Oryctolagus cuniculus: one gene and its partner. The protein of the gene in region 2 interacts with the protein of the main gene of each other region in a pairwise test. Links are inferred from orthologs where the notes say so. Each region holds a gene or a part of one and is shown on either strand. Other genes may lie near its edges.

What was found. The genes of interacting proteins can lie anywhere in the genome.
Region 1: the proteins of CTBP1 (region 2) and SNRPN interact in a two-hybrid assay, tested with the Homo sapiens proteins (2 studies listed by BioGRID and IntAct). The link is inferred for Oryctolagus cuniculus from reciprocal best matches to the Homo sapiens genes CTBP1 and SNRPN.

What each region holds. Positions count from the first base shown.
Region 1 is NC_091443.1:13,809,400-13,815,645, reverse strand, and holds the start of SNRPN (small nuclear ribonucleoprotein-associated protein N), read right to left. Parts: upstream 3,452-6,246; 5' UTR 3,432-3,451; exon of another isoform or gene 3,406-3,431; intron 2,835-3,405; exon of another isoform or gene 2,799-2,834; intron 1,259-2,798; exon of another isoform or gene 1,187-1,258; intron 1-1,186. Other genes in the region: SNURF (SNRPN upstream reading frame protein), read right to left, coding at 3,452-3,557.
Region 2 is NC_091433.1:408,154-412,990, reverse strand, and holds part of CTBP1 (C-terminal-binding protein 1), read left to right. Parts: intron 1-2,147; coding exon 2,148-2,362; intron 2,363-3,173; coding exon 3,174-3,304; intron 3,305-3,581; coding exon 3,582-3,709; intron 3,710-4,329; coding exon 4,330-4,447; intron 4,448-4,837. UniProt on the Homo sapiens protein: Corepressor targeting diverse transcription regulators such as GLIS2 or BCL6. Has dehydrogenase activity. Involved in controlling the equilibrium between tubular and stacked structures in the Golgi complex.

The DNA of each region.
Region 1 (6,246 bases), on a different chromosome or scaffold from region 2:
TAAATTCCACTAGGATTGTTCTTCACTGTTTCCAATAGATAAAATTTTGAAACAGCACATTAAATGTTAGGTATATTCTGAGTACTTCATGGTTTGAAAATAATCATTAAAATCATGACTATAAACTACATGAACACCAAAACAATAAAGTAAAATAAGTTTTGAGCACATATGGAATTTTATGCCAACATATAAAAGAACATAAAAATACGTGATAACTCTTTCCATAAAGTTCTAAGATGTTTAAGGGATGTTTCCTATAGTTCTAGAAGCTTAATTGCAGTAAGACATTCCATGAGATCTTGAGAGTTCTTAGATCTTAAGATCCAAGAAATCCCTAACAATTTTTCAGTATACCCAACAACCTACATTTTCCACATACAAGCTTTCATGCATTCTTTTTAAAGTTTATGGTAAACAATCTGCTTATTCCCTCAATATACTGTCTATACTGCTCTGTAAGACGACTGATAACAGATTATACTATCTATGTACCTACTTATATCTACAGAAATGGCATCAAGAATACTCCAGTGCCCAAGATCCAATGTTTGTACATGAGGTAACACATTATCTAAAATTCATGAGAAAATCACAGGCAACTATTCAAACAAGGAGACTGAACTACTACTTCAATCATGTGTAATCTCTGACCCAAAATAACATAATGAATAAGAGAAGTTTAAGCCTGTGAATAGATGTCCTGAACAATAAAGAATGGGAGAATATACAACTAATTTGAAAATATTCTTCCACAGAGCACGGCCAACTAAATACCACATACTTTCCTTCATTGGAAGTGTTTATTTAAAAACTAAGAGTTGTAAAGAGAAACTAACCACTTTTAAAGTTTGTATTAATTATTTGAGACAGAAAGACACAGAGAGCTCTCATAAATTGGAATCCAGGTCTCCTTTGTGGGTGGCAGGAACCCAATAACTCATGCCATCACCACTCTCTACTAGAGCTGTTTTAGTACTAAGCTGGAGTCAGGAGTCAGAGCTGTGAATCAAATCCAGGTACTCTGATACTGAACACAAATGTCCAAATACCTACCTCTAGTCTAGGAATGTTCACATCAATCAAGACTTCCTGTGATGCATTTAAAAATCATTCCAGGGGAAATCATCTGGCATAGTAGTTAAGATACCATTAGGATAACTGGATACCACATCATAGTACCTACATTGGTGTCCTGGCTTCACTCCATATTCCAGCATTCTGCAAACACTGTATCTTGTGGAGGCTCAAGTATTTGGGTACCTGCAACCTACATGGGAGACCCAGATTGAATTCCTGACTGCTGGTTTTGGCCTGTCCCACCCTGCCTGTTTCAGTTATTTAGGAAGTGAATCAGTGGATGAGATCTCTGTCCATTCGTTCATCTTTGTATTTCAAACCATAAATATTTTTAAAAAGAAAAAGATTCACTCTAATATTATACCCACACTTGGATACTTATCCTTTTGTACCAAGAAACAAAACTAGAGGTTCAATATCCCTTTTCCAAGATGCTTGGAATCAGACATATCTTGCATTTCAGATTATTTTATACGTGATTATTGGCATCTGCAAAATAATGTTTCATATACAACTTACCCACATAGCATACAGTCATTTTATATGGTACTTTCGTGCATGAAAAGAGTCATGGTGTTTGGAATTTTCCACCAGGGGTGTCAGTGCTCAAAAAATTTTGTATTATTTTCAGTTACAAGTTTGAGAATTAAGGATGCTCAATCTGTAATATTCATAAATTTACTTTCCAATTTTCCTGGCTATCACATTGTTCAGATGTTTATAATTAAAATAGGAAGGTATCAATTATTAAAGTACCCTTCAAGTGAAATCCATATGATTTCCAGACCCTTCTCTTACTGCAGAAATACCTAGTATTCTACATACTTCATATACAATCTTTCAATAATCCCTTTCTTCAGCACTTTGCTATACCCCTTGGCACCACCGTGGTGTTTTCAATTAATCTGTGTCTCTAAAATAATGATCAGTAGATGTTTTTATATAAAAGAACAAGATATTAAATATTTCATGCTATCCCTATCATCTGATCTGTCAAAAAATTGACACTGTAGTGTCATGTAGCCATGAGCCTTACATAGACATAGCTATAGATCAATAAAAATCTACAAAAATATGTAGTGGGACAGATACTAACTCCTACTCTAATGAAAGCCTAATAGCTATCACTGTTTAGGTGAAACTAGCAGTTGGACACAGAATAACATAGGATATGATTAAATATGAGAAAATGAAATGGTTCTACTGGCAGATGCTAATACGTAATTTAAATAACATACTTAGAAGTTTTCAAGAGTATTCTAACTCAACTGAGAAGCCAAAAAATGTCTAGACACAAAGAAAATCAACTGTGTGTGTGCCTACTCATTGAAAAATGCCCTGAGGGGCAATTTTCAGATTCCCTAGCTTATTTGCAACAAAGTTCATCTTGGAATGTTGGATATTGAGGATTCAACAGGGAGGAGTTCTCAGAAAATATGTCTTCTCAGATTTAAATTCAATATAGTAGCCATAAACAGTCCTAATTAATTCAAGTTGAGGGGCAACATTTCAAAAACAGAAATAAAAATCTAGTAGAGAATTCACCCATATACCCTTTCTGATTCTATTTTCTAAACAGTATATAGCAAATTCTCTGAAATAAGGGCATTCTATTTTTAAAACAGAAAAAAATGAAGTAAAAACAAGGTACTGAATCAATGTGAATAACTTTCTAGAAAATATAAATCAACATAAACAGTAAATAAATCTACATCACATTAAAAATTTATGGATAATCTTTATTGCATTGTCTGCTGATTCCAGTAAGAAATACATTGGTGAAAACAGAAAAGTGAGAAAAAAGACAAAACAATGAAAGAAGTAGTTAGTGAATAACCAAGGAAATATTTAGATTCTCTAATAATCTTGATAATGATGGTATATTCAATAAGTATAAATGATATTATAATTATAATAAGACTGGTAAGTGTATTTTAAATAGCACACTATTTTATGGCAATGAAAACTAATGTTACTTTACAAACTCTTGCAAAATAATTAAATCACTCACAAAGGAGAATTATAAAGCATTAACTAACAGTTTTTTTTTTTTATATATAAGGTAAAGTTGAAAATCAAATAGAACATAAATAAAACTATCCAAAAAGCACACACCACAAAGATTGGGACACAAAAACATTGTCATGGCAGGAACATTAAGGATTTTCTTTTACTCTTTTAAAATCTTTATGTAATTTGCTTTTTTATAAGAAGTATTTATTTTTAAAAAAAAAAGTCTTTTCAAGTGCCCAGATTACTAAATGAACACCAAACACCCTTTTTTTCAATGATTTATTTTCTCATCATTACTACATCAGCTCTAACCTGGTTTTTGCTTAGAAGTCAGCTACCTTGATATTCCAATACTGCTTTAACCACCTCTTGGTGTCTCGGCTAAGAATGCCTGTCTTAGTTCCGCCTGGAAATCCACCACAGGTACTTGCTGCTGTTGAGAACGTCTTGGGTACAACTGACACCTATGATAAGAGCATAGTATACATAAATGACAAAAATATTTATTAATATTAATCATATCAAAGAATACACAGACTCTTCTATTTATGACAATCTGCTTTAATGCTCAGAGAATGCCATTACTTTGTTAGGAAACTATAAAATAAAACAAAAGTCTCTGAACACAAGGATGTGCGAGGAAACAGTGAATACTTACCCAGTCTAGGAATATTTCCAAAGACCCAAAAGACCAAGAGTTGTTAGTTCTGCAGAAAAAGTATCAGCATCATGGCCACTCAATTTACAATCATCCTATGTGGAAACCATCTTTTCTCCCATAGGCTGGGTGAAGAATTTGGTAATGCATTTTCAAGGCAATCATCCATACTGATACTCCTAAAATATCACCACCCGAAAAAAAGCACCTCAAGGGTACAGCTTGTTGAAGAGCTCCAAAACTAGGTAAATCATACATCTATGAATAAGCAGGGCATTTTAAAGAAAAGACCTCAACATACCCCTGTGGATCAGTAACCTGATCCTGAACAGAAGAGATGTAGAAATTTAGTTTGTTATGCAACAAGACATGCCTAGGACACAGGAGGAGAAATCACCAACAATTATGCCCTTGTTGATAAAGGAAAAAAAGAGATAAGAGGAGGCTTCAAAAGTTTCATGGAATATTCACCCTAAGATTTGTTTGTTTATTTGAAAGGCAGAGCAACCAAGAGATGGAGAAAGGTGGAAAGAGATACAGATCGATCCCCGAAATGGCACCAACAGCCAGGTCTGGGCCAGGTTGAAGACAGGAGCCAGGAACACTATCCTAGTCTCACACATGGGTGGCAGAGAACCAAACTGTTGGGTCATCTTCTGCTACCTTCCCAGGCATATTAGCAGGAAGCTGGCTAGGAAAAAAAAAAAAAAAAAAGAGAAGCCAAGACTCAAACCAGCACTCTGATACAGAATGCTGCATGTGTCTAAGCAGCTGCTTAATCTGCTGAGCCAAAAGTCTGCTCCCCACAACAACTTTTAATTCCATTTTTCAACAAACTTTCTGAAGCTTCATCAGTAAACAAAAATATTCATTAGCAGTTGGATTTGGAAATGTGGACAGTGGTAAAAGATTTTCTACTTCATAGTTTTTCAACATTTTCATCACACTGTTGGATGAAGAGTTTAGCAGGCCATGGTCCCTAGTTCAGGGGAGGTAACTTCTAAATTCTAGAAATTTACCCCAAAGGGGGATTATCTTTTTATTCCAAGTGAATTCTTCAGATCACATCTGAGTTTATGCTACTCCGATGACTCAGGATGGTGCCCAGCCCTACCACAAAACACCAAGGTAAGAGGGTAGTGGTTATAATTCTGATATCTTAGTTGGGGGATGGTCAGTGGAAACTGAGCTCAATCACATTACCAAGGATTCAATCAATGTTGACTATAAAATGAAAATACAATGAAATCATTAATATATAAAAGTTCTGCTGGGCTTCCTCGTTGGTGCATCTTGGGAACAGGGAAGCTTTGAATTTGGGACCCTCCTAGGTCTTAACCCATGAGTATGTTCTTTTCAATCATTTTATAATAAAAATTTTACTTCTGTGAGTCATTTTAACAACTTAGAAAATCTGAAGGGGCAGCAGAATCTATTGCCAGTTGTCAAAAGTAGGGGTAGTCTGGGAACTGCAGAGCTTGTAGCTGATGTCTGAATTCAAAGGAGTCTAACAGAGAGATGATACAATCTACCTATGAAGTCTGCATTAAGTCTTGGTTAGTAATTAAGCCTTAGTATCTTAATTACATTCTACACACTGTTGGAATTTCCTATTCCAATCACTGAATAATGGAATCTTAATTTGGCCATTCTCTATTCTGATTTCTGTTACCAAATGGCAACCAAGTCTCTTATCTAATGAAGTCCTATAAAGTGTTTCAGAAAGAAAAAAAAATTCAGCTTCTTAAAACCTATGGGGCCAGAGCCGTGGCTCACTTGGCTGATCCTCTGTCTGCAGCGCCAGCATCCCATATGGGTGCTGGGTTCTAGTCCCAGTTGCTCCTCTTCCAGTCCAGCTCTCTGCTATGGCCCAGGAGGGCAGTGGAGGATGGCCCAGGCGCTTGGGCCCCTGCACCCACATGGGAGACCAGGAAGAAGCTCCTGTATCCTGGCTTCAGATTAGCGTAGCGCCGGCCACAGTGGCCATTTGGGGGGAACCAATGGAAGAAAGACCTTTCTTTCTGTCTCTCACTGTCTAACTCTGTCAAATAAATTAAAAAAAAAAAAAAAAAACTAAAGAGAATTTCCTATTGCATTAACCCTTTGAGTTTAATTGTAACTCAACAAAAGACTAAACATAAGAAAGTAATGTTATTCAATACCAAAGAACAGGAACAGATTTGGTGGTATATCTACTAAGGACAGAATAATCATCGATATTCTAAATGAGAAGAAGGGGGAAAATGAACTTTTATTATGTCCATGTTAATCTGTGGAATATTCTGTTTACATGTTATATTGGCTTTTACTTGTTTTTGGATTTTTTGGAAGGACTACTAATGATAACCTTTTATTGGTCTCTAGGGCAGATACTTTCACAATGCCTCCAGGAAGACTGATAAGCAATACTTATAGTTTGGAAAAAGATGGCAGATTAATAGAGATAAATACTAATGAACATTCATCATATATGTAAAATATTACTATTAAGTGTA
Region 2 (4,837 bases):
CCTGAGCCCTGCCCACGCCCCTGTGTGTGCCCCTCTGTGGGTTCCACGGGTGACCCATGTGATGGCCACTGCTGGCCAAGTGGAGCAGCTGTCTCCCTGCTGCTGCTGGCACGGGGCACCTCTGCACCCCATGCGGGTCTGAGGTGGGGTCGTGACCTCGGCACCCTGTGTGTTCCCCAGTCGGGCAGCGGCTTCAGGTGTCACTCAGGACCTCCTGCTGGTGAAGGGGACCCCACTGCGTGACTGCACCCCTGTGTGTGTGTGTGTGTGTGTGTGTGTGTGTGTGTGTGAGGGAGAGACAGGCAGAGTGAGAGTGACAGAGACAGAGCGAGCGTGACCGAGACAGTGACAGACACAGACGGGAGAGTGACAGAGCAAGCCCCATCTGCCGTTCACCCCCCAGATGCCCGCACAGCAGGGGCTTGGCTGGAGCCAGGACCAGCAGCTCCGTCCAGGCCCTGTAGGTGAAGGGCTCAGCGCTGGGGCCCTCTCCTGCCCCCACCCCCGCCCCCGCCCCCAGCACTGGCAGTGCCCTGCGCCCCGCCCCACCGGTCCTTTACCCATAGCTGCAGAGAAAGTTCTAGAACCATGGCTGGGGCTTCACGGGGGAGGCCTCTCCTGGCCGTGCCGTGTGCACTTTTCCAAATGTCTGAGACCCCACCCCTGCCCTGCTGTGGGGGCCCCAGGATTTCTTTCTTTCTTTCTTTTTTTTTTTTTTTTTTTTTAAGTTTTATGTATTTATTTGAAAGTCAGAGTTACACAGAGAGAGGAGAGGCAGAGAGAGAGAGAGAGGTCTTCCATCCGCTGGTTCACTCCCCAGATGACCTCAACAGCCGGAGCTGTGCCGATTCAAAGCTAGGAGCCAGGAGCTTCTTCCGGGTCTCCCACGTGGGTGCAGGGGCCCAAGGACTTGAGCCACCTTCCACTGCTTTCCCAGGCCATGGTAGGAGCTGGGTTGGAAGTGGAGCAGCCGGGACTGGAACCGGCGCCCATATGGAATGCCGGCCCTGCAGGCGGCAGTTTTACCCGCTCTGCCACAGCGCCAGCCCCCTGGGTATTTGTTACCATGCCCCAGACCCCTCAGCGGCTCCTGGGACCCTGGCCCACGTTTTGTGAGTTGGGGTCTCCACCCCCGTGCAGACGGCCCCTGCTTGCAACTCATCCTGGAGGTTGCTGCACCTGTGTGTCTGTGAGAGACGTGGGTTCCGGAACGCTCCTGCTCTGGGTGGCGCCTGTCCTGTCTGTTTTCTAGAATGTTCTCTACTATGCCTGCTCTTCCTGTGACCAGGACGTCGCCCGCCTCTCTGTGTCCTCTCGTTCCTCACGGGGGACCCTCCCAGGAGTCCCGTCCACACCCAAGGCGGTCCCCTGGCCGGCAGCCGGGCTAGGGCCCAAGCCGCCTGATGGCTTCCCTTCCGTCCGAGGCGTTGCTGGCCCGTGATCTGCATGGAGCGTGTTCTGAGCTTTGTGCCCTGGCCTCCGTCCCTCCAAGAGGGTGGCATGCGCCCACACCCTAGCCCTGCCCCGCTCGTCCCGTGTTGGGGCAGCTTCCCCTCCCGCCCGGGCTCCTGGAGCCCAGCCCGTGTCGTCCCTGGCAGCACAGCAGGCACGCGAGGAGCCAGCCTCCGCCCTGACCGCAGCCCAGCGCTCGGCTGCTCGCGTGGTGGGGCTGGGCAGCAGGTGGGTCCTGGCGGGGCCACAGCCGGCACCGGGGCTGGGGAAGCGCACCTGCCCGCCCTGCACCGCTTCTCAGGGCCAAGCTCAGAGCAGCGGCTCCCAGGTTGCCGTCTCCCCTGGTGGCGGCCGGAATTCAGATCCAGAGACACCGCTGAGCTGGACTTGAAGCCGGACCAGAGGTGTGGCCACGGTGCATGTGTGCACAGCATTGTGTGTGGTTCCAGGCATCTCGTGTCACCCCTGCAGAGGGGACAGAGCTGGCTGTGGGGCTGACTCTGGCCACAAGGACGTGGGGCTCATGGGGTGCAGACACGGGGCTCGCGGTGGTCATGCGGCACCCACCACGGTGTTCACGCGGTGTTCACGCGGCACCTGTCTCCGTGGCCATGTGACACGGCTCACACGGTGGTCGTGTTCTGGTCTCATGGTGACCACGTGGCATGTGTCTCATGTGGGGTCTCCACCCGCAGGCCGTGTGGGGCAGGCGGTGGCGCTGCGGGCCAAGGCGTTCGGCTTCAGCGTGCTGTTCTACGACCCGTACCTGCCGGACGGCGTGGAGCGGGCGCTGGGGCTGCAGCGCGTGGGCACCCTGCAGGACCTGCTGTTCCACAGCGACTGCGTGACCCTGCACTGCGGCCTCAACGAGCACAACCACCACCTCATCAACGACTTCACCGTGAAGCAGGTGCCGCCGGGCCTGTACACTGTCCACGGGGCGGCCCTGTCCCCTGTCCATGGGGCCTGTCCACTGTCCATGGGGGCCTGTGCGTGGGGCGGCCCTGTCCACTGTCCACGGGGCCTGTCCACTGTCCACGGGGCTGCCCTGTGCACGGGGCCTGTGCACGGGGCTGCCCTGTCCACGGGGGTCTCTGCCTGTGGCCCTGTCCATGGGGCCTGTGCACGGGGTGGCCCTGTCCACGGGGTCTGTCCATGGGGCCTGTCCACGGGGCCTGTGCACGGGACTGCCCTGTCCACAGGGGCCTCTGCCTGTGGCCCTGTCCATGGGGCGGTCCTGCGGGGGCAGCCAGGTGGCCTCCTGCAGCTCCAGGCCTTTGATGGTCACTTGTTTGCTTGCTGCAGGGGGTGGGGGTGCACACGGGTCCACACGTATGGTGGAAGGGGCCTGCCACACCCTCTCTCCCATGGTCAAAGGGTGGGGGGGTGGTTGGAGCTGTGACAGGGAAGTGGCACAGGCAGTGGCACTGGGACCCAGGGCCAGGAGGACCTCGGGGTGAGGGGGGGCAGTCAGACGCTGACCGCAAGACGGGGCAGCCGGCTCCAGGGCCGTCTGTGAAGGCAAGAACGGCCCTGCCCTGGCACGGAGCTCCACACAGCCCACCCTGGCCGGGTCTGGCTGCCGGCCGGGGCCTCGCGGTGCTGAACTCCCTCCCCAGGGGGCGCTGCAGCCGCGGCTGGGCGGGCCGGGGCCGGGGCCGGGCCTCTTCCCCAGTGGCCCGGGGCGCTGCCTGGTGCCAGCCTCCCTGTCCATCCCCCAGATGCGGCAGGGGGCCTTCCTGGTGAACACGGCGCGAGGCGGCCTGGTGGACGAGAAGGCCTTGGCCCAGGCCCTCAAGGAGGGCCGGATCCGCGGCGCGGCGCTGGACGTGCACGAGTCGGAGCCCTTCAGGTGCGGGCTGCCCGGCGTCGGGGCTCTGTCTGCGTGGGTGGGCACGCGAGCCTGTGGCTGCAGGCCAGGGGCCTCTTGCTGGTCAGTGCCCTTGAGTGGCATCTGGCCTGGCCTCAGGCAGTCCCGCCGTGCTTGGTTCGGGCCCGGCCTTGGCCTTCACCGGGCTGACCTTCCTGGCTCTCGCTGGCCTGGGTGCTTGTGGCAGGACCTGAGCTCACTGGGGGCAGTGTCCTGGCCGCGGGGCTGGGCTGCGCTGACCAGTCCTTTGCCACCCCAGCTTTAGCCAAGGCCCCCTGAAAGACGCACCCAACCTCATCTGCACCCCGCACGCCGCATGGTACAGCGAGCAGGCGTCCATCGAGATGCGGGAGGAAGCGGCCCGCGAGATCCGCCGCGCCATCACAGGTGGGCGCCTCTGCCCCGTGGTCCTCACGCCTGGGGGAGGGGGAGGGGAGGGCGCCTCTGCCCTGTGGTCCCCACGCCCGGGGGAGGGGGAGGGGAGGGCGCCTCTGCCCCGTGGTCCCCACGCCCGGGGGAGGGGGAGGGGAGGGCGCCTCTGCCCCGTGGTCCCCACGCCCGGGGGAGGGGGAGGGGAGGGCGCCTCTGCCCCGTGGTCCCCACGCCCGGGGGAGGGGGAGGGGAGGGCGCCTCTGCCCCGTGGTCCCCACGCCCGGGGGAGGGGGAGGGGAGGACGCCTCTGCCCCGTGGTCCTCATGCCTGGGGGGGGCGCCTCTGCCCCGTGGTCCCCACGCCCGGGGGAGGGGGAGGGGAGGGCGCCTCTGCCCCGTGGTCCTCACGCCTGGGGGAGGGGGAGGGGAGGGCGCCTCTGCCCCGTGGTCCTCACGTCCAGGGGAGGGGGAGGGGGGGTGCCTCTGCCCCATGGTCCCTGCACCAGGGCTGGGGGAGCCCCTGGCGGGGGGAGGGCGCCTCTGCCCCGTGGCCTCCATGCCCGGGGGAGGGGGAGGGCCACGTGTGGCAGGCCTGTTTCTGAGCTGGTACCGTGGCCCCTGGCTGCTGTGTGCCAGGCCGGATCCCAGACAGCCTGAAGAACTGTGTCAACAAGGACCACCTGACAGCTGCCACTCACTGGGCCAGCATGGACCCCGCCGTGGTGCACCCCGAGCTCAACGGGGCTGCGTACAGGTGAGCAGGCGCCTCCAGGGCGCTGGGGGTCCCAGGCAGGCGCCAGGTGGCTGGGGTCTGGGGCAAGGCCCGTGCAGTGGGGATCTGTTCCCCTGAGTGGCCCGTGGGAGCCCGGGCCTCCTGGATGGACGTCAGGACAGGGCGGGCTTAGGCCTGGGGGGCACGCGGGAGCGAGGACTGAGCAGGGGTCTGGGGTGCAGCGAGGACCTCATGGCTGAGTCACTGGGCAGGACTCCGTGCCCCTGCTCTGAGGAAGCCCCCACGGTGGGGGGTCTCCTGGGGAGAGCCCCTCCTCACCCCACATCCGTGCTGCAGCCTCAGTAAGCCTGCGGGGGCAGGTGGGGTGGGGCTGTGAGGGGGCGTGGCTTCCAGGGTGGGGTGGGTGTGGCT